Linked DNA regions of Lepisosteus oculatus. The protein of the gene in region 2 interacts with the protein of the main gene of each other region in a pairwise test. Links are inferred from orthologs where the notes say so. Each region holds a gene or a part of one and is shown on either strand. Other genes may lie near its edges.

Region 1 (7,328 bases), on a different chromosome or scaffold from region 2:
TCCACACACAGCAACCTGCCAGCTATTACCCTCTGAATACTTTTCAATTTGAATGCCCATCCTTTGAAAAGAATGGCCACGCCAGAGGCTCTGTTGTTATTGTCCCCTGACCAAACAGAAGGCCCTTTATCCCACCTATCTTCAAAGCTTTTATACCTCTCTTGATAGGCTAAAGCACACTCCTGCAACATCAACACATCTCCCTCTCTCTGCTGGAGGTAATCAAAGACAGACTGGCATTTAACTCTGTCATTGATACCTCTGGTGTTAAGAGAAATTATGTTTAGAGCCATATTACATAAGAAAGTGGAACCAGTCTTTACAAAACACATTTCTCTTCTGTCTCACCTGTTACCTTCTTCTTTTTCTTCTTACCAATTTCCTGCCAGCCATCCTCTGAATGAGCCTTCATTAGGATGGTCTCCTCTTCCCCCTCACCCACCAGCTGCCGCAGATCCTTCGTGATGGACTGGATGGAGGAGAGGAGGGCATCTGTAGCACTTGCAGAGTCTGAGAAAAGCAGCTCCGCTGAATCCTGGGTATCCTCGCTGGACCCGCTCCACCGGGGGGCCCCACACTGGCCCTCGTTCTGAGGAGCAGGAGTGGGGGAGGGGTCCTCGCTGTTCTCGGGGGTTTTCAAACCCTCGTGCTTGTCTGGTGCAGTCTGCGGTTGTGGGGGCGTAGTGGATTTCTCTTCCACCAGCCCCGGAGCCACAGCAGGACTGATCCTGGCTGGAGGCTGAGAGTCTTTGTCCAACAAGGGTTCTTTGTTTGACTTGTTGTTTGCTTTGGCTTTTCGGGCCGGTTTGGCTGAAACAAGCACTGCCTCATCCTTTCTCATTTTGAGTTTATTGGCGTAGGCGTGAGGGCAGTTCTTAAAAACGTGTCCTTCCGAGCCACATAAATTGCACTTTGGCAGCATTGAACAGTCAGAGGCTAAATGTCCCTGTTTGCCACAGGTCTTGCAGCATTTCACAGTGCAGGACGATGCCAGATGTCCCACAGCACCACAGCGCCGACACACCTTTGGTTGTCCCACATAAAACACATAGCCATTGCAGGCGCCCAGCCGGATTGTAGAGGGCAGGTGCCTTAAGCGTCCATTTACGCTGTCCGGTAGCAAGCGAACTTCGAATTTCCCTGCTCCTGTTTTTATACCGTCAACATCTCTAACCTCAGTTCCATGGTGGACGGTGCAGTACTGGTTAAGCCAGGTGTGAATGTCCTCCGTCTTTGCCAGTTCCGAGAACATAACAACATGCACCGTTTTCCTCTCTCTCTGTGTCAGAGGCTGCAAGTTGATCTTCTCAAGTGCAGGAACTTTCCCTCTTTTTGCCTCAAACACATCCACGCATTGTTCAAACAGAGGATAGGTAGCAAATAGAACCTCAAATGCTTTCTGACCTGGGAGAGCGAAGATGAAATCCAAGTTCCGAGGTTCAAAGCCGAGCTCCTTCTGTAACACTTTTCTGCTGAACTGCACACGATCCATGAAGAGGTCATCCAAAAGCTCAAAACGTACAGCATTCTTGCGGGATCCAAAGGTTGCCATTTCAAAAACTGCAAAACAAACACTGCTCCCACAAAACAAGAAAACAATCCAACTACTCCACCTACAGGCTGATCAAGGTATCTCCCCTGCCATCTCAGTAGGACAATTGATTAGACGTTGATTAGATGCTGGTTAATGGTTCCCCAATCAACACACAGTCACCTGCCAAAACTTTTTTGCATACCTCAGCTTGCTCTCCATGAGACACAGACATGAGGAGAAGCTTGGGGTTAGATAGCAGGGTCAGCCATTGTACAGCACCCCTGGAGCAGCTGGGGCCCAATGGGGTAGGATTCCTCTGCCAGCCCCTGGATTTTACCTTCCAGCCACAGGTGCAGATCCTTAGCCACAATGTCACCACTCAATTCAAGAAGTTTTGTTGGCATGACCAATAAAAAAATCACTGTTGCCACATCATATATAATCAACATAAGATCTACAGACATTTACAATATAGAGACATCATAATACATTTACATACAAATATATGGAGCATTATTGAGGCCATCTACCACTCTCATCTATCACTCCTAGACTGGGAGAGCACGGATACATTTTGGAAACTGTGGTTCATACCCCGGCTCTCTTTGCTGTATTTGTCTGCTGAACTGCATGTTGTCCATAATAAGACAATCCAGGAGCTCAAAGCACAGTGCATTCCTATGACTTCCAACACCTTTCATTTTCTAAAGCTCTGGGGAAAAATACTACGGCTTGTTGCCAACAGCACCACAGAGAAAGGCACTTCTCCATCAGCTATGTGATCATGGTATCGACCCTCTCAGTGTACAATCATTACCTTTGACAATCTGTTTGCAAGGCAAGGTGTTGTCAGGTCCTGGTGTTCTTTTTATATACTTCTATTTTATTTATTCATACTCTGTCTTGTAACACTATCTCAAAGATGATCTAAAACGATGCCTGATGAGTAGATGAGCACACTGAATTTAACAATGATGTTTTTAGTAGAAGATGAAAGGGCACTTGTGTGCTGGCTTGGTATAACTCATTAATCAGTGGATCTCATCCAGCAGTGTTCCACCTGTCCTTTTAGTTTGTTCCATGCTGCTACCACTCTTTGTGCTTTTCTTTCACGTTAAATTTAATGGAGATCTCCTGAGCTCCCCTCTGTACTTTATTTTGTGTTTAAATGCTTCTGCTGAAGAAATGTATTGCAACAGGCCAAGGGCGGCTTTACATGTGTGAAATTCAGTGATTACACCTGAGAATTAAGTTCCGAATTCATCATCCCACTTAAAAAAAAAAACAGTTTTGAGAGTATGTCTGAGAGTAAAGCCCAGAGTTACATCTCCCTGTGATCAAATCCCTTTCCAGTAGTGATCTTAACTAGAAGTGATATAAATTGCTTATTTTTTCTCTAAGCCTAGTCCTAACTTAGTCCAACTTAGTTGGTTTGTTGGACACAGACAGTCCGAGCTCTGTGGATATTTGGATACTTCCTTAGGCACACGGATCAGCAATCTTCACCTGTGAATTCTAATGTATGGCATTGTTCCAAGTTAAATGAACCAGTGCCTGTACCAATCATGGCCTCCTAATAACCCCCATCTATGAACTGGCTTCATCTCTGTTCTCTTCCACAAGAGCTCCTGTGTGGTGAGTGTACTGTGAGTGCAGTATGGGCTGCTGTCGCATCATCCCATCAATCAGTCTGTATAAACCTATGCACATTTTGCACATATTTTATTGCTTTTACAGTGACTATGATCATCACATTTTGCACACACCTATGTATTTATTTTTTATTTTGTTGTCTTTTGTTTTATAACTATTCTTAAGTCTGTTTTTGCTTGTCTTAGGCTGGACTGCTGTAACACATCAATTTCCCTACGGGATTAATAAAGTATTATCTATCTATCATCCAGGTGGGGCTGCACACTGGTGGTGGAGGAGAGTCCCCATTACCTGTAAAGCACTTTGAGTGGAGTGTCCAGAAAAGCGCTATATAAGTATAAGGAATTATTATGATTTCCATTTTTAATATGTCCTGTTTAACAGAATATCGTTTAAAAAAAATTCACAAAAGGCACTAAAACTGAAACGAGAGTGACCACAAAATCCTTTGCCCACAATTTTGTTTGATGTGGTTCTAATCACGTTTTCCCGTTTTGTTTTAGGTTCTGCTGGTATCATTACAGTAGACCAGACACCCTCTGTTTTTTTTTTTTTGCCGGAGGAGAGGAAACTACCACTGCCAGTGTAAAAGTGTTACTGATCACAGAGACATGGAGATGTATCAGATGAAACCAGCCCTCGTTTTATAATTCGGCTTCACTTTTCCCGGGATGAAACTCGGTTTGGTGGCAGTAACACTAATGCTGACCACACATTCACGGAAAAAAAAAACTTTTAGCGCTGCTCAGGACACGTGCATCGTACATTTGCACTGTCGACATATATACACTTCTGTCAATCAATGGCACAACGAATTCAGAGACTGATTATATGTCATCAACAAGCTCAGAAAAACACAGCTTCCGCTGACACAATCCTCCTCTTTAACTAGTAACGCAGCGCTCGAGCTCGTCGTTTCTCCATCCTATTGGGTTATTCGGCAATCAATCATGGTGACGTACCCTTATCTCGCAGCTCCGTCTGTCCTCAGTCGCCATTGGCTGGTTTGTCTTAAAAAAACACCCATTTGCTGACGTGCTCCCTTTCCCGATTGGCTGCTGGCCTCGGTTTAAATTTAAAATGTACTGGGCGGTTTGCAGCGCTTGAACGTCAGGTACGGACTTGAGTGTGAAGAAAGCTGTTCGCGTTTGATGCTGTTTTACTCGTCGTTCGAGGTACGTATGAGTTTGTGCCGGGCTTTAGAAGTAATTGTTGCATGTTTCGGCGCTTTTTATTTTTGATGGAAATCGTCTCTGGGCAGACAGCGGGGTTACGGGGAGAATCGCAGCTTTCTTGGTAGTTGTGTTTTGGATTTTGCGCCTGTAAGGGAAAACGGAAAATTATCTGTCGGCCAGGTTTCACCGGGTAAGCCGCAGTACGTCTTCACTTTCGAGCTGCTTTATTCGTGATGGGACGGATGAATTGCGGCGTTGCTGTGATGCGGGTCAGCCGAAAGACAGTTCATGTGTGCGGGTGTGAGGCCGTGTTCACTCGCGGCTGCCTGCTTCAATGGCTGGATAAGTCATGATCGTGTCATTAAGTGTTGCTAAATCACTGAACGCAACGCCGAACTGCAGGCCTGTTTGTGACAATCAGACTTCTTGGAGGAAAGCTGTCACCTGGGTGAGTTTTTAGAAATTGCCAGTTACGTGTGAATCTCTCTTTAGTCTGTCGAAGCCCGTTTTTCAAGTTTAAGACGCGGTCTATCGCCTGAACCCACAGTACAGGCGATAACGTCTTTGTTGCTCATCTTTGCTAATGATCGATGAGGATGTAATAAAATCAGATGATCGCTGCATCCTTTCGGCTCAGTTCCGGGAAACGTGCATGGAACTTGCTTTCTTGTCCTCACATGTTTAAACGGGGCTGGGAGGTCCTCTCTATGCGGTGACGTAATCTTGCGAAGTACAGACTGTCGGTGAGAGAGAGATAATTCGTCTTTCTTTTTATGTCGTGAATGGGTTTTATGCCTGTGCTATTTGAATTCAACCACAGGTCCTAGAGTTGGACTTTTATCGTTTCTGGCTTCTGATAGCCCCTCCCGCAAGATAACATCTTTGTGTTTAAAATGGTAAATCTTCAGACACGATAGGGACACGTTCTTTGTCACCTACAATAAAAGAGCCAAGTGAAAAATCAGTGCTTTCCAGTATGGTCACATGGGCTGTATCTCAAGGTTTCTGGAACATGTCATTCCGCCCCTGCTTGGGAGTCTTGTTTTTTGTTCTGGTCTTGTGATGACACTGCCATAATGAAATTCATTGTTTTGGTTGGACTACAGGACTGGAAGCTGCTGTGTTTCAGCCTGTGTTGCTGTGTGTGGCCAGTGGTTTTATAGTCATGGAATGCACTGTTTCCTAAACATCAGTAAATAAGTTGAGCATTTACACAATGTTTAGTACATACTAGATTAGTTCTGCAGTGGTTGCCTTCAAAGAGGTTTAAGGATTTATATCTTTTCACAAGAAATCTGGGAAACTGTTTTTTGCTCTGTCACACATTTAGTGAGGTCAAACTGCATGTGATTCTTTTTTAAAAAATCCCAAATTCTTAATTCAGTATGGAAAATGACACCCGGCACTCTACTCCTGACTTGTATGTAGTTTTTGTTTTAAAATTCAAACATATACTGTACATAATCCAGTTAATGAGGGCTGAAAGCAATGAGTGGACCGAATCATGTCCACTGTGTAGTAACTAAAGGTACAGTGAATTTGTGCTGAAGGTGAGTGATATAGTGGATATGAAGTGGTATTGACAGTGGAGTCATGCTGAGTGTGCTTTTCCAAATTGGTCTCCACTGTTATCTGCCAGCCCAGCTGTGGAGCTGGCACTCTGGGCGTGGCCTGTCACTCACACTGGCTGTCTGCTCGCAGGATGAGTGTGGTTGCCGTGAACGATGAAAACTTTGGCGTGGATCCTGCACGAAGCTGCATCAGTTTGGAGACTTGCGATATCCTGCAGCCCACAGGAAGACCCTCCATCTTGCGCCAGTCCCAAAAGGAAAACATGCCTCCTAAAAGCTTGGCAAAGGGAGTGAAGGTATAGAACTTCTGAACTGTGTAAAACGCAATCCTCTTTCCAAATGAGCTCCGTTGGATCTTTTTAATTAAGCCCTTGAACACCTGTGTTGGAGAAGATGGGTACAGTTGCCACGTCTCCCTTTTGTTTCAGGTCTGTTTTCAGACGCCCTTGCGAGACCCCGTGACGCGCAAGATTGTCTCGTCAAACAAGGGAAGCCAGGTGGAGCGTGCTGATGGTCTGGATGACTGCACCAAGGCTATGGAAACTCTTTCCCTGGAAAACCACCCTGCTGCCATCACAGGGTGAGCTGCTGATGTGGGTTTGCGTTTGGTAGAACAGGAATCCACCAGTATTCTTACTCTTTATACCTGCTGCCACTGTTCTTTTTTCTGTGCTTCCTGAGGGGAGAGGAAGGGATAGGCAAAGGTGTTCTTGCCCAAGAGCTGTGCCCTAGAGTACTGTGTATGAGAGGTCACAAAGGAAGAGTCTGGCAAATGTTGAGTTTACCTGGACTTTTTGTGACCAAGCCTACTGAAATAGGACACTCTTTTGAGCTCTCAATACTTATTTTAGAGTGACTACAACTTCTACAGTCTTAATTCTTCATTTTACTGTGCTTTTTAGGTTTATTTTCTGAGCAAAGATTTTGGGACCAGGAGTCCTTTCCCTTTTGCCTTACTTTGCAGGAGTCTCCTGCTTGTTTTGAAGTCTGAAATATTTTGCAGAAAAATTACAAAGTCAGCATTGCATCTTACTTCTTGGGTAAAATTGTAATGTTGTATGTTTTAAACCACTTTAATTTCAAGGTCTTTCAAGGTTAAGACTTTACATGTTTGGATATGCCTATTTAACTGCATGACATTTAGGTCAGTGTTCTTGAATGTCAATACCTTAATACCTTTATATACCAGAAGTGGTGAATTTGACCTATTAGCATTTTAATGATTTTTTAAGACCAGTTGCTAGGCTTATCCATCTGGCTGTAACAAAAGGAGAACTGATGATTGTGGCAGAGGAGGAGCTGAGGAAAGGCCAGGATTTGTTGTGAGCATTTTGCTTGAGGAAGCAACAGTGTGTGTTTAGAAGTAAATGAAACATTTTTCCAAGAGGTTGAGAC
Region 2 (7,509 bases):
GAAATAAAACTCTTTACTGAAATACCATATATCATCACATAACTTGACAATCTTCACACTAGTTATGTTAGCATCTAATGGAATGATGAGTCTGTATCTATCTCTGTGGATAAACTAAGAAACATCAATTCACAAAAAGCGGATTAACTAAATATTGAAAATGCTTTTTTCACTCCAATGCAATATTTAAATAATCTATACAAGGGCACTAAAACCAGTTCTGGGACTATGACGTGTTAATTTAACTTCTTATCAGTTATCTCACATTCCTCTCCTTATGTGTAATATCAAGGACTCGGCAATCTGCAGTGAGGCTATTGGCTATTTAAAGAACGCCATCATTAGCTTATCCTGTTGAGAATGTTTTGCAATGTCCTGGCATCTTCATTAATATAAAGAAATAACATGCAGCATGTCCTATAGCAAATCTACCCAAAAGTCTTATTTTCAAGTCCTATGAAAGCTAACACTATCTTAATACATCAAGTAATCTAATTCAAGGTTCTTGATAGAACTGAACACTTTGCAGACTTGTTAGTTGCATTTTCAGCATTTTAAAAGTTGTCTGAATACATATGAAAACTGGGAAACACAATAAAACACATGAGTACCCTCATCATATTACGATGGTCTGAAGTCAACTTCACTGCATGTTCAGAGGGAACCCAGTCAATGCACTGCAGCAGAAAGTGTAATATCTGTATTTACTAATCAGACTGGGATGTGCAAACATGAAAGTTCTTTCTTCTAAGTGTGACCTGGAATGTTAGCACTCACATCTGGCTTTCTTTAATATGTTATTGTACTTGCAATCAAAGCTAAAATACTTTTCCAGGAAGTTACTCTTAAGATTCTATTGTTATAAAATACTCCTTTTAATTAAATCAATATAAATGCATGTGAGGAAGCTTATAAAAATAATAACAGCTTCAAACACTACAGTGTCCCAGATTGTGGATGAAAAAAAAAATTTTTCAATATCTCAGTTTGAGGACAGCACAGTGGTACAATGGTTAGGTTTGCTACCTCACAATGCTAACCGCTGGGGACCCGGATTCAATTCCTGGGGGTACTAACTACATGGAGTTTATAACACATGTTCTTGCATGGGTTTCCACTTTGTGCTCCGGTTTCCTCCCACAGTCCAAAGACATACTGGTACAGTAGGTCTACTGGCTTCTGTAAAATTGGCCCTGCTCTGAGTGTGTGTGCCCTGAAATGGAGCCATCCAGGTGAACAGTATCTCACCTTGTGCCAGTTGCTTGCCAGGGTAACTTCCAGCTCTCCCTACAACCATGTTCATCTTAAATGGATGAGAAAATGGAAGGATGGATCTCAGTTTGAAAAACTTAAATTCAGATTCTTTGTAAGGACCTCGGGGTGCTCACTTGTAACTCACACAGCAAAAGCACAGAATATGAAGAGGTCTTCCTATATCTTTTCTATTCTGCATGCCTTTTCTCCTCTAATATTTACTAAAAATCGCATGTTTCATCGTGTGAGCACGTGCTAATACAAACAACATCCGTATGTAATATCTGCCCCCACTGACCCTGGATAACAGCATGTCCTGTGGCGTCAGTCACACACCCCAGCAGTTTGCCAGCTCATGTACTGACATGGTGAACAGGATGAATCTCTCCGTGTATTAGCAATACTGTTGTTTAAATAGTGTGTTGCCAAGGTGACACGAGGTTCAAGGCTTCTTAGATCTTACTATAAAAAATACCATACATAAAGCCTTCTACAGCACCTACAGTGCTCTTGGTTCTTCATTCCTTCAATATTTAAAAACCCAAAGCTGGAACCTTGAATAGAAACAAATTTGTCAGTTTCTCCATATCAGTCAATTTGTTTAGATGAGAAAAGCTAGAAAATGCTTTCTTAACTCTCCACTTAGTTACTGTGTGTCTGTGTGTGTACAAAGTGGTCTCCCCTTCACATTATAAGGGTGCTTTTTACGATTGGTCTCTTTAATAACGAGTAAGCAAACACAGTTTAATCCACAGTACAGTTTGTGCTAACAGTGTCATACGTTCATTTTGATGAAACAGCTGGACATATGTTGAATGAATAATACGAAAAAGGTAATTGATACAGATGTTGCTGTTACAGTTCTTCATTGAAGTTCGTGAAATACGCTGACCAGAATTGCTGCTAAATTAATACATCGAGGAATTTCTCAGAGCACCTCTTTGCCGACAGGTGTGTCAGTAACAACTAACAAATTGTTAGGCGGTCAAATGTTTTTTGAGCAATATATAGAATTACATATATAGAATAATTCACTGAATTGTTGGTTAACAGTTAACATGCACTCAGCAGTGGGAAAAAAATACATTTTCTGCTACAATTGCTATACTGTCTGTAAGTCTTTTCCACATCTGGTGAAAAGACGATTAAAACGAATAGGGAATTGTCTGTAACCTACAAGTACTCATATCTATATGAGGATTTTTCATTCAAACAGGTGTAACAAATTAACACGGGTAAAAATAGCCGCACGCCATTAAAAATGTATTTCTTGATACTGTAGTTCCGTGAAACCTGACGAGCAAACTATGATAAAAACTCACTCATACACCCACTTCGTAAACACGCGGGGAAACCATTTACCGTAAGTAGTTGTAGTTGAAAAAAATCGGATCAATTACTTAAAACGAATGCACATCTGTTATAACCACAAAGCAAATAGCCTTAATTGTATTATTAATTTATAATTGTATTGTATAGGTTTTGCATTCTATAAAAGTTTTAATTCTTTCAAATTCACAAACTTTTCATACAGAATACAGTGCAGGTTATCCGTATGTATGTAGTAGTACACGGGTGCGGATGGTACCCTTTAAAATTTAAAGGAACCGTGATTTCTCAAAAAGAGCCGAAGCAAAGGAGACAGAATTTTTTTTCAGAAATGTTCTACTAAGTAAAAATCAATAACGCATCAAACACATACTACTAATGATGTGAATAAAATTACGACGACAAAAACTCACTTTCTTTTACAAAAAATAAAATTTCTCATTCAAGTTTGCATTGAACTAGTCATTTACACCAATGTTAGTTTTTACAACTCGTGCGCGTAAAAACCATGGATGTTATTTTTTATGTTAAAAGTAGATTACTTTAGTCACGCAACAATACATTTAAAATTTTTTCGTACTCGCACCCCAACGTAACAGCTCTACAAAGGGATTTCTGCGTTTCCCCCCGTGGCTTCAACTTGATACGCAAGACCGAGGCTTTGTAAGGCCTACAAAATATTCCCTTCAAATAGCTCCATAGCCGCTATGGATGATGCACGGAAAAGCAAAAGAAAGTTTTCTTGTTAGAGAAACTTACCACTACCGCTGTAACTGGCTGTCCTGGAATAAAAGACATTGTAAACCAAATACAATAAAAATCGCCTCACTCCGTAAAAAAGGCACAGCCCTCAGCCGAACAAGGGATAAATACAATTAAAGCACCACTTTCCTTATTCATGAGCAGACTTTGTGAATAATTCATGACTCGGCTCCAGGTTGGGCGTATAAAGATGAGGTAATGCTCCCTACTGTTGGTGTTGGAAATTAAGTCGATCGTCCCGATTTATACAGACTCTTAATAAAAAACTAAGCACTACCGTGAAACTTCACAGTAAAGTGCTGTTGATTTAACTGGAATTTAAACTGCAGTCTTGTTTATATTAATGGAAATGTCCTTGCAATTTTAAAGGACGCCAATGTATTAAAAAATCTTTGCTCAATTTCACAATTCTGGAAGATCCCTCCTCATGTTTATTTGGAGTTTGAAGTTACAAAATTGCACAAATAAACGTTTAGTGTTCAAACGGTACAAGGAATTAATGTATTCGTCAAGTTTTGTTAAGAAGCACGTTTATTTTTCTTATGCATTCAAAGTAATTCTGATGTTATTCAGCTGCAGACCTTTTAAATCCCTTCCTTCTGGGTCTCTTTTTCTTTTTATTTGTACAAGGTACATTAAAAAAACCTGCCCTCTGGCCCATCACGCACCCTAAGGATGTCACCCAGTTTATTGAACAGGGACAGCGCACAGCTCTTAAACAGCACTAGAGTTAGTTAAATGACATCTGTACATCTGGGATGGACACAACATGACACAAACACGATACAAGTATACAAGTACTGCTTGCTGTTGTGGACAAACGTCAGCACACCAGGTTGACGAGACCTGATGCACTGTCTGTAAAGACCATTTAGAGGCTGTAACGTGAGACAGGGGTGAGTGCGAGGTAGGAACATCACGCTGGGGAGCACTTGGCGTTGATATGAGTCTGAATCATGCTGGACGCCAGCCCTAGTTCATTTTAAAGGGGCTTCTATTCAGATCAGAGAAATCGATGAAATGCTCCTATTATGATGGTGAACTAAAGGGGCGCGTGGCAAAGGATACCTGATCTCCCACTGTTTCAGGGCTCCTTTTGTTCCAGTATTTTCATATCTGAAATATCCAGAGGTCTTATAAAAGGCTGTTGGGTGGAACACTGCAATGGCACTGAGGCACGGGGAGTTTGCACAAGGATGGGGAACAAACAGACCATCTTTACAACACAGCAGCTAGATGCCTATCAGGTTGGTTCTAATTTATTGTCTCTCAGCGGGATGTTCTTTGAACTCTCATGATTATTCTTATTCAGGGCTGCACTTTGCAGATTGGAGCAACTTCTCTTTCTGTACACTTTACCTGTGAACCCACTTTCAAAGACACAATGTTCTACGGTGTGAATCTTTCAAATAAGTCGTGAGTGAGCACTTTCTGAAACCACTGTAAATATCTGTTTTGTGCCAACAGTTATTACTATCAGCAAAGTATAGCAACCTGCTCCACCCAGATGCAATACAATTGCATTGGATCTTTTTCTAACTGGGTTGTGAAGGCTGAGCATTTCATATAAGTTTAAAAACAAGCAGTAAGGATGACACCTGTCTTTCTGGGATTGATTATTTCTGTGCACTGCGCCTTTCACTTTTGAATGGACCTGCTTGTATTAGCAAGGGATGTGTGGAGTGTGGAGTAGCAGTCCTCATTTCTAAATTACAAAGCTGTATGTTCTAGCCAGCAATCCCTCCATTTGTAAATGCCAGTGGTTTGAAAGGAAAGTTTGCAGCCTCGGTTAAAGAATTGACTGCTCATTCGAAGTAAATGGCCATTCTTGTTCACCACAGTCCGAAGGGTTAGCGCCAGTGTCAAGCAAGGCCGGATTATGGCAGGGTCTTTGTTCCATTAACAAAGAGGGTTGCTGAAGAGGAAATATGATTAATTTCTTCCTCTGTTAGCTCTGCAGCATGACTGTGCCGAAAGGCTGCTGGTACATATTCATCCAGCATTATTTACTGATGAGCTGGTTTGGTATCAGTCCAGAGAAGAGCAACTAGATACATTTTGGGTCTTAAGGAGATGTTGTACACTGACAAGCTGAAAGAACTGAACCTCTTTAGTCTTAAACAGAGAAGAGTATGAGGTGACCTGATACAAGTATTCAAAATTCTGACAAAGATAACCCAGCAGAGTTCTTCAGAACAACATTATTCGGGAAATTCTGGCTTATTTCAAGGAATGGCAGGATGATATAAATTAACTGTTAATTAAATGTTCTTGAATAGCGTTCTGTAAGTAACTGTTTTTATGTTATTATGTAGAAAGGTAATAAGAAATAAACAACTTTTCATCCGTTGAGTCTTCAAGTGTCTTGTATTGTGGTTTTGCCTTATAATGGAGATGTAATAAAAAATGCTAATGTCACATACATGAAGCATGCGTATCACATAAGTGAAGTTATGCCAATATGATGAACAGACAAGCATTCTCTATAGTTCAAATAGTTTTTATCTTTGTTGTTTTTCTAGGACTGTACATTTTTCACCAGAAAAGAAATCCTGAGGTAAGAAAAATGGCTCACCTTTGATAATAAACAAGGTTAATGAAGTAAATCCTTTTTGTTCATGTGGAATGTGACACAGCGAAGTTGTGAGGCATTTCTGTTAAGAGAACAAAATACAGAAAAAAACATTTTGCAATTTCATTGAGAGAAAAAAATAAACTCTTTCAAAATCTTTGTTCAAAACAACCACAAGGACAAATTTTATTTGAACATAGTTTATATTTACCTTTCAGTAAAAGAAAGACAATGAAATATAGTCTGTCTGTCAATTCAGGAGCTAAAGACATTAGGTTGAACCATTGACCTGCATGCAGAACATTATTTTAAATTAATTTCTTTTACATTAGAATCCTTTGCACAAAGTTGATTTAGCTCATCAGTAAAAATTCAGTTCTCTGGGTTTGATGTTCAATGACATTTGCAGAATTAAATGGATTTTGATTGTCGTCCTAAATCCTGAACAGAACTGAATGGCTTCCAAGCCGTTCTTCTAAATATAGTGCTTGTGTAGTCCATTTAGTTTAGACTAAATGGTGTCCTGCCCAAATTTCCCCCTGGCCCTTACCAATCATGGCCTCCTAATAATCCCCATTTCTGAACTGGCTTCATCACTCTGCTCTCCTCCCCACTGAGAGCTGATGGGTGTTGAGAGTACTGGCGCACTTTGGCTGCCATCACATCATCCGGGTGGGGGCTACACACTGGGGGTGATGGAGGGGACTCCCCATTACCTGTAAGGTGCTTTGAGTGGAGTGTCTAGACAGGCACTATGTAAGTCTAAGGATATTATGATTATGATGTATCCTTGTGTCATGTACTAATGTCCCTAGGCTGTTTCATCGCTACCGGGACCTGGCACCACAGCTTGTTCCACTCGACTACACCAGCAACCCAGATGTCAAGATACCATACGAGCTGATTGGCAGCATGCCAGAGTTGAAGGTACGCCCACCGATTGTGCTGGTGAAGGATGTCCATGCCATGCTCCTGGGGACACAATCAATTATTCATCGCCTACTAATTGACAGGAGCCTTGGAGAGGTTATGAGTAACTTGATCCCTGTACACCTGAAGAAAGTTATATTGCACAGCTTGTGCTCCTGGCAATAGCAGCTATTGTCTGGCACTTCACACACAGTACAGGGCTGCTCTTGTGGGCATTTGCACCGTGGAAAAGATCAGCATTATTAGTGAGCAAATACACCCTTAATCATCTGCCAAAATCCCTTTGCAGATAGAGAAACGTTTGCAAAAATATTAGACCAATAGTTTGCTAAAAACATTTTTGGTAGAACCTGTAATAGATAAGTTGTGTGCAGGTGAGCATGGGAGGTATGCTTTGTCTCTGTTGTTCTGGTAAAAGCAAACAAAACTAATCAATACATTTCTCTACAGGACTGGTCATTAAAAAAGGATGTGCAGTACTTCAGATGGTTGTGAGTGATTCAGGGTGGTAGTTAATTAAACAGATGTCTTTTTTGCAAATTGCAGGACAACCCTTTCCGCCAGAGAATAGCTGAGGTTTTCTCTGAAGACGGAGAGGGAAATATGACCCTAGATGACTTCCTGGACATGTTCTCTGTACTGAGTGAAATGGCACCAAGGGA
Region 3 (7,510 bases), on a different chromosome or scaffold from region 2:
CACGTACTGTATGCAACATATGCTTTATAGCAGTTTGCAAATCCTATCTTGTGAAATTCTGTTCCATTAGTCTTGTAGAGCCTGCACAAGCATGTCCTCCTCATGGGTCAATGAGCCCTTCATACTACATATCATACCCATAAACATAACTATCATATTCTCATCTTGCAAGTGAGCCATTATTAAATAAGCAGCACGAGGATAAGTGTTGTCCTGCTGGCATGAGGTCATGTCAGGATATGCCAACAGGAACAGCATCAAGTGAGGTCCTAGAACTTCAATGTACTGTACTCCGTGCAATCAAGTTCCCATTAATCACTTGTCGCGCCCTGGCAACTCTGAGACAGTGGATTGTGCCGTATGAAAACGATCACAAATATACAGTGTGGTTATGTATTTGTGACCCCTCAGGTCATGGCTCATCATTGGCAGACTGTCTGTCACGGTTGACATCCCTCCCCTAGAGGGCCCTCCACTGCTCTCTTGTCCCTAGCTCCTTGTGATTGTTTATGTCCTCCCGGTGTGTCTTGTTTGTCTCTCTATTTAATCCTAGTGCCTCCAATGCTCAGGGCTCAGCATTAGCATATGGATGTCACGAGGCCCGCCTAGCACCAGGTCGTCCCACGTCCGTGGCCTGAAGGCACAGGCCTCATCCCCCACATTTCCTGTTTCCTGAGCCCGGAGCGAGGTCCTCCGAGGTCTTGTCATGTCTGTGTTTCCCCTTCCCAGGGATTTTAACTTAGAGTCGTCACTGGATGGATTTCTCGGATTCGGACCCCTCGACTGTGCCCTGACTCTCCTATGGACCCGTTTGGATTTGGATACCTGTGTCTTTTCTCCCGATACCCTGCTGCACGAATAAACCCTTGTTTGTTTTCACCATAGCACGTCTTCCTTTCCTCCAGACTCTACTGCTCGCATAGGGTCTTATCACAAACCCAAGATGGATTGCAGAGCTATTCCGTGACACTGTCAGTGATTGGTGTCCAATCAACTCTCTCACTTACTGTATGGCTTATGCAAGAGTCAGTCACTCAAGTGCGTCACAGTCAGTCATGAAAGATCTATTCATCGAAATGACACCAAAATCATTTAATCAATATCCATTTTGTGCTGACACTCATTGTAATTACTATACATGTCTGAAGAAGATTCTAAATGTATTATTACAATGAAGCTACTTTTACAGACAATAATAAAATATAAATCAGTAAACATGTTATGCTAATTTCTTTATTAATTTTGTATTGTATGTGCCTTTAGCTTTTCAGTTGCCATCTTTTAAACAGGAAATGAAATAAAAACAACATAAAACAGAAAACAGATCTACAGAATAACACAAACATTCCCATTCCTTGTCTTCAGGTTTAATTGACACAATAAAAAAATGAACTCAAAAAAATGTCTAGAAAGACATACAGCTCTCATATGATTGGTAATCAATGGTAAACTAATTTTAGCCTGACTTTTTTCCTATACTGTACCTCACATGTTCTCGAGTATCACAAGGTACAGTATGTAACAGTCCTCCTTCACTATCATTAAATAATGTAAGCACTGATAGCATTGCTATTTTTCAAATGAAAAGCTTCATTGTGGATCTTTCAGGGTATGTTAACACATTATTTTTGGTTACGTGGTTTCTACTATCTGCCCTATAATTTAACTAATTGGTTACATCATTTTACATACATGATGTACAAAACAATAACTTGAAAAGCCCACAGCGTATGAAACCTGAATGCCATTATGAGATGCAATTTACTCCATTCCGCCTTAAATTAAAAAAGATATTTTATAAAGCAGCAGCCTTTAATACTGCCCTATCCGTAACAGCAACCCACAAAAGAGAGTTCGATTTGTCGATTATCTAATTTTAGTACACAGTGACCTTAAATATCAATGAACTGGAGCATTTGTGACCAAACAGAAATCAATGAAGAGAAACAAATCCTCAGCAGAAATCTTCGAAAATCTACACTGAAGCGCAATATACGTGTGAACTGTATATATATATTAATCATACGAAATTCTAAGTGCAAAATATCGTTATTACACACACACATCAAAACTGTTAGAATATTAGAATATAGGTTTATTCCATGCTGAATAAAAGAAGAAAAAAACACAATGTTTCGGCTGTAAGACACTTCTTCCACAGCCCTTAAACCCGAAGAAGGCTCCACAGCCGAAACGTTGTTTTCTTTCATCTTCTTTTTTTCAGCATGGAATAAACCTATTACTTGTTTCTTTACATGAATAGTTTGTATTGCACCACCAATCAACAGAGTTGGCTTGAAAATCACAAGAGATGCAATTCGGAAAGTGGTGACAGCGCTATTTGTGATAGCGATCATACCTGTATGTAACTTTTAAAAACTTGCTGTACCTCAGAGAAACCGACCAGAAATCCACAGTAAAACAGTTTCTTTTAATGCAACGATGCTGATACGAGTCGACACAAAAGCTCCGATTGTTGTCAAGACTTTGCTAAAAGCTTTGCATCCTCTGAGGAAACAACAAAGCACAGCATAGTCCACGTTCATACTATCCATGAACTGAAAACAACGAACAAAATACGCGCCGTTAAATAAATATTGGCAAATAAATTATAAACCTTACGATGGGGGAGCAGAGATGACTAGCCCTACCTTTAGCCCTTGAGTGCAGAAGCATGTCGAACAGCGAAAAGCCAGATTCTGTTGCACAGATTCCTTGTTCTCACTTGTCATGCAGTGATAGGACAGTAGCGATTATTACTTTGATGACACTTAAAAAAAAAGCTTTCCGAGTGCTTCCATAAATACAACAACCATTCGACCGAAACACACGACTGTTCCTCCTAAGGCACCCTTATTGCTTACTGACTGGTCAAAGTGAAGACAAACGCGCAAGTGCTCTGCTTATAATGTACTATGACTGGGAAATCGAAGGAAACGAGAAGCTAGGCGTACTCACGTTCACGAATGTATTCTGTCACCCTCAACAAAGGTAGAGAAAAAATCCTCTTCGCCTTAACACTTGTGAATTGAGAATGAATGGAGAGCTCACCCCTATTGCCTACTTAATCCCATACTGTATGTATGGAATGCAGCAGCCAGGTTTCACTGCAGATTCAGGGATCTTAAATCAAAGAAGGAGGAGTTTGTAGTGACGGGACGAAAAGAACACTTTTAAAATGCCTGTGATAATAGTGTCCATTCTTACTATGAACGTCTAGTTATTCGTTGTTGGCGGTGTTGATGTAAAAATAATTTACTTAATTCTGGACGGACCTTCATTACGCTGGACTGAAATAGCAGAAAAGTTATACTGAAATTTCAGTGATTCCGTGAAAACTCCTTAATACATCCAAATAAAATATGATGTGTATTTTATTCAAATCCAGATTTATTGGATAAATAAACGAAACAATGATATTTTTATGAATATAAAATAAACATTACATTATTGCACATAACGTATAATGACTTACCTATGGTACTAAAGCTTTTCAGAAAAGTCTAATTTACATTATAAGCTGTCAAATATATCATTATCAAATGAAGAAACTTGATGATTAATTGAAAACGCAGATGGATATACGAAGATATATTGAAAATAATTCAGGTTTGCCCTCTCATAAACTGTGGCCTCTATTCAAAGTCTCTGTTGGCCTGTCCCATTTCAGGCAATTAACTATCCTACAGATTTGCTGAAACACACATTTTTTAATTCAGCAGAAGAGAAGTGACTAGAATTTCTTTTAATTTTCTGTTAATGGATCTGCTGTTATTCAGAAAGCAGTCTGGAATATTGAAGGAGGATTGAAAACAGCTCTTACATTTCTTTCTTTGTGAATAAAGAAGATCAGTTAATAATGTAAATAGCTGGCATGAAGTATCTCAGGCTAGTCATCCACAATAAGAAATATTGGCTCCTACTTTTGAATTCTCAAGGTCAATGTTTTTCATCAGGTATCCAGCAAGAGAATATCAGATGCTGCCTCGTGAGCTCATTGGACATTATTTGTCAGATGATGAATTCTAAATCCTGAGACATGCAGCTCGGTGTACAAACTTTTTTGCAGCTCTATTGGCCAGTAACATATGTGACCTTATTTGCTGTATCTGATGTGTTGCCTGAGAAGCATTTCCATGTAAATGACCAGTATGCCACTTTGTTTTTGTTAAATAAGGTAGATGAGCTATGTGCCCTCCTCTTTTTTGTAATCTCTCTTATGTTCTTAAGGGACAAGTTGAGATCATCCATTCCTAATGCTGTATTCCAGGTCTTTGTAAATGTTTTCAGGACAGCTGTCAAAGCATTTTACTGCAGTACAAAACGTGTTCCCTCTCCCTCTCCCATGCTTCTCTTCCTCTGAATGCCGTGCATTTAAAATTCCAAAGCCAAGTTGAAGTGAAAACTGTTTTATTTCTGATTTCCTTTGTTCTTCAAACACTTCTAATTCCCAAACTGCTAGCTTCACATCCATACAAGAGCAAATTCATTTGTGAAGAAAAAGCTTTACAAAACCCCCATTTGTGGTTTCACTGCATTAGTGTGAGCTGAAATTCAAAACAATCCTTGAGCACCTTAGAAATAATGATAAAAACAGCTTTGAACAAGAAACTTGTATTTATTTTGCAAATACTGTGTTATTAGTTTGGTAATACTGTAAATCAAACAGTTTACAAATGAACTTACTAATATTTTCAGATTTGTATGTACTTTTTTTTGTGAAGCAAGAGCACAATAAATTACTCAAGCCCAGGTTTAAATGTCATTCACCACCGAAAAAGCTGAAGTTGTTATTTATTCTATGACCTTAGGCATGAACTATAAACCTAGAAAACTTTGCACTCATTTTAATTCCACCCACTTCCCTGCATGCATCTGCTTCTCAGCATGGCATTGGTTTCCAGGGGAACCATGGGCAACCATTTCTTTCCTCAGGGAGACTGTTGCTATGGTAACTATACATTATGCATCAGACTGGATGAAAGCCCTTTCAGATGAAACGTTATTTGCATTCCTGTTTAATGTGAGAATTGTCTGATAGTGACATAAAGTATACAAAGAGTTTTGAGGGTTCGGATGTGCTTTTCTGAATCCAAAACATCTCCCAACTATGAAACCAAAATCCAGCTATATGCAGTGAGAGTACTGAAAGAAACAAATTGGTACTTGACATACAGTAAGTAGCGCATTAATATGTAATGGAGGAGTTTTGCCTCCAGACACTTTACAGATTAATGAAAAGAAGATGAAAAAGAAGGAATAAAAATAATGAAAATACCAGAATATAAAAAATACCTTACTACTGTACTAAATATTTAAAACATGTCCTATGTTTGAAATTTGAAATGTGTTACAGGCTACCAGTATTATGGAAACCTGCAGCTCTTCAGTGACTGAAGCAGAGCACGTATAGTATATACTCAGACTCCTTATCCGGCTTTATTTTGAGACTGATCTTTAAATTCTAGATATGGTTTGGGATATACTGTAGTTTATACACTACACTATCAACTTAACCCAGAAACAAATGGTTGTAGACTGCCAAGCCAGCATTCAAAGTCATGATTATGCTTTTCTCTGGTGGTATTTGAAAAAGTAAAACAAAATCAAACAGCTGTAGATCTTGAGGTTTTTTATCTACATTCACACTCAATCACTTAACTGAAATGCAAACTATCTGAAGAACTAAGAGTTCAAATTAAAAAGTTGTTAATAGAAAGTTATCTATAAATCCTGATAAACTGTAGATTTTATTAGGTAGTGTGTTTATCCCTAACAAACGTACAAAACTTGCAACTAACTAGAAAGGGGTTAGCTTTCTTTTAGCTCGCCAATAGAAAGAACAGAAAAGATGGCAAACACTTCCCCAGGAGTAATTGTTCAGGAGCATTACAGGAGCTCTAAGCATCCTTTTTTTTTTGGTTTCACTACCTAATTTTGCATTTAAAGATAAAGCCTTTTGGCCTCCTAAGGCTAATAAGCTACTTTACCGCTACACAACTCAACTATGAATGCAAGGCTCCACAGGGAAAAGCACACAACACTAATCTCCTGTGTCTTCTGTCCCTCTGGTCATAATAGTGACAGTGTTCTGCACCGAACATTCGGAGAGAGATTTTCTTGTTGTTGTCATGGTCCCAAATCCCAGGAGACTGATGCTAAGTATACTGATACTGCTAACTGACAACTTGGAGAGTCTAGATGTAATTAGATTATATGATTTGGCTCAAAATGTCTGCTTTGTTATGACATACTTCAGATATGATATCCAGTTGCTACTTCCAGTACAAAGATAATCATGCAAATTTACTATAGTGTCAAATATTTAAATGTATTCCCTTAACAATTTAAAGTAACTCTAAATGCTGTTAGAGTTTTGGGGTCATGTTATAAATTTGCCAGAAAATTATTTTACAGCAGTAAAGCTATTACACAGGGTTATGTGATATTGAAAGAAAGGTCAAAATGCTGACTATGAACTTCTGAGTGCTTTATAATCCTATGGTCTTTTAGGTTTCTGCCTTTTTATCTGTTCCGAAGAAGAATCCATGAAAAAGAATCACATCATACCCAGTACAGGAATACTCTTCCCTGCTTTGAAAGAGACATGTGCTTGGTGTAGAATGCTGCTGGCTTAATCTAGTTGTACACTTGAAAACAATTTTAATCCCCACTGAAAGAAGCAAGATAGGTGATTCATTGGAATAATCTTGAGTGTTTTAATTGAGAACAAGAAATTAAGAACACATTTGCATTACAAAGATCACATTTGGCAAGCTACAGTTAAGAACAAGCCTGGAAAATTCATGCTAAATTTGGGGAAAAAGAGATAATCTTAACACAGACACCTCTCATACTAAAAGAGGCTCTGATAAGGTTTTACTCGGAGAGGGGTTGCTGTTTTCTCTATGATAAGGATAAACACTTCTGGAAATGAGGAGTGTTGTCTGTCAGCAGAAAGATACTAGCCATCTAAATGTTAGGAGATGACAGCTTCTGAGCTTCATGCCTCTCTTCTAAGCAAAGTGATTCGTTATACTTTAATTAATGCTGCTATTATCCTTTTCTATGTTTCCCAAACACCTAAAATCTTCAGCTGGTTATTTCTAAATTATCAGTGTCTGTGTGATGTGAGACCAAAGCAGACGTGAAGAGTCACAGCTCATATTTATTTTTGTTAGAACAGTTCTCATTTAGATTGTGTTTAACAGCACCGCACATAATGATTTGCATCAACTATAAATAAACTTCAATGCAGAATTACATTAACAGAGTTTAGGTTGGTGTGATTCCAGACTTTAGTGCCCTCTGTGTGATGTCTTCGTGTCCTCCCCAGGTTTTCATGTGGGTTTCTGTAGGTGGTCTGGTTTCTTCTCACCTTTGATAGACATGCTGGCCATGTTAATTGGTGCCTCTAAATTGTACCTTTGTGCTTGTTTGTGTGCCCTTTAGTGTACTGGTGTCTCCCCAGGGTGGAGGTTAACCTAACCAGGAATAAGGATCTTTCTGA

Evidence for each region.
Region 1: the proteins of calcium and integrin-binding family member 3 (region 2) and tacc3 interact in binary tests that used the Homo sapiens proteins (3 or more experiments, as listed by UniProt). The two-hybrid records come from large-scale screens. The link is inferred for Lepisosteus oculatus from reciprocal best matches to the Homo sapiens genes CIB3 and TACC3.
Region 3: the proteins of calcium and integrin-binding family member 3 (region 2) and trim2a interact in binary tests that used the Homo sapiens proteins (3 or more experiments, as listed by UniProt). The two-hybrid records come from large-scale screens. The link is inferred for Lepisosteus oculatus from reciprocal best matches to the Homo sapiens genes CIB3 and TRIM2.

What each region holds. Positions count from the first base shown.
Region 1 is NC_090696.1:5,719,577-5,726,904, forward strand, and holds the start of tacc3 (transforming acidic coiled-coil-containing protein 3), read left to right. Parts: upstream 1-4,253; 5' UTR 4,254-4,362; intron 4,363-6,063; 5' UTR 6,064-6,064; coding exon 6,065-6,229; intron 6,230-6,361; coding exon 6,362-6,513; intron 6,514-7,328. UniProt on the Homo sapiens protein: Plays a role in the microtubule-dependent coupling of the nucleus and the centrosome. Involved in the processes that regulate centrosome-mediated interkinetic nuclear migration (INM) of neural progenitors.
Region 2 is NC_090724.1:5,142,757-5,150,265, forward strand, and holds the start of calcium and integrin-binding family member 3, read left to right. Parts: upstream 1-4,458; 5' UTR 4,459-4,541; coding exon 4,542-4,592; intron 4,593-5,867; coding exon 5,868-5,902; intron 5,903-6,732; coding exon 6,733-6,844; intron 6,845-7,393; coding exon 7,394-7,509. Other genes in the region: tax1bp3 (tax1-binding protein 3), read right to left, coding at 3,343-3,381. UniProt on the Homo sapiens protein: Acts a an auxiliary subunit of the sensory mechanoelectrical transduction (MET) channel in hair cells. Plays a role in regulating hair cell MET channel localization and function.
Region 3 is NC_090696.1:24,973,143-24,980,652, forward strand, and holds the start of trim2a (tripartite motif-containing protein 2), read right to left. Parts: upstream 3,076-7,510; 5' UTR 2,959-3,075; intron 2,842-2,958; exon of another isoform or gene 2,652-2,841; intron 1-2,651. UniProt on the Homo sapiens protein: UBE2D1-dependent E3 ubiquitin-protein ligase that mediates the ubiquitination of NEFL and of phosphorylated BCL2L11. Plays a neuroprotective function. May play a role in neuronal rapid ischemic tolerance.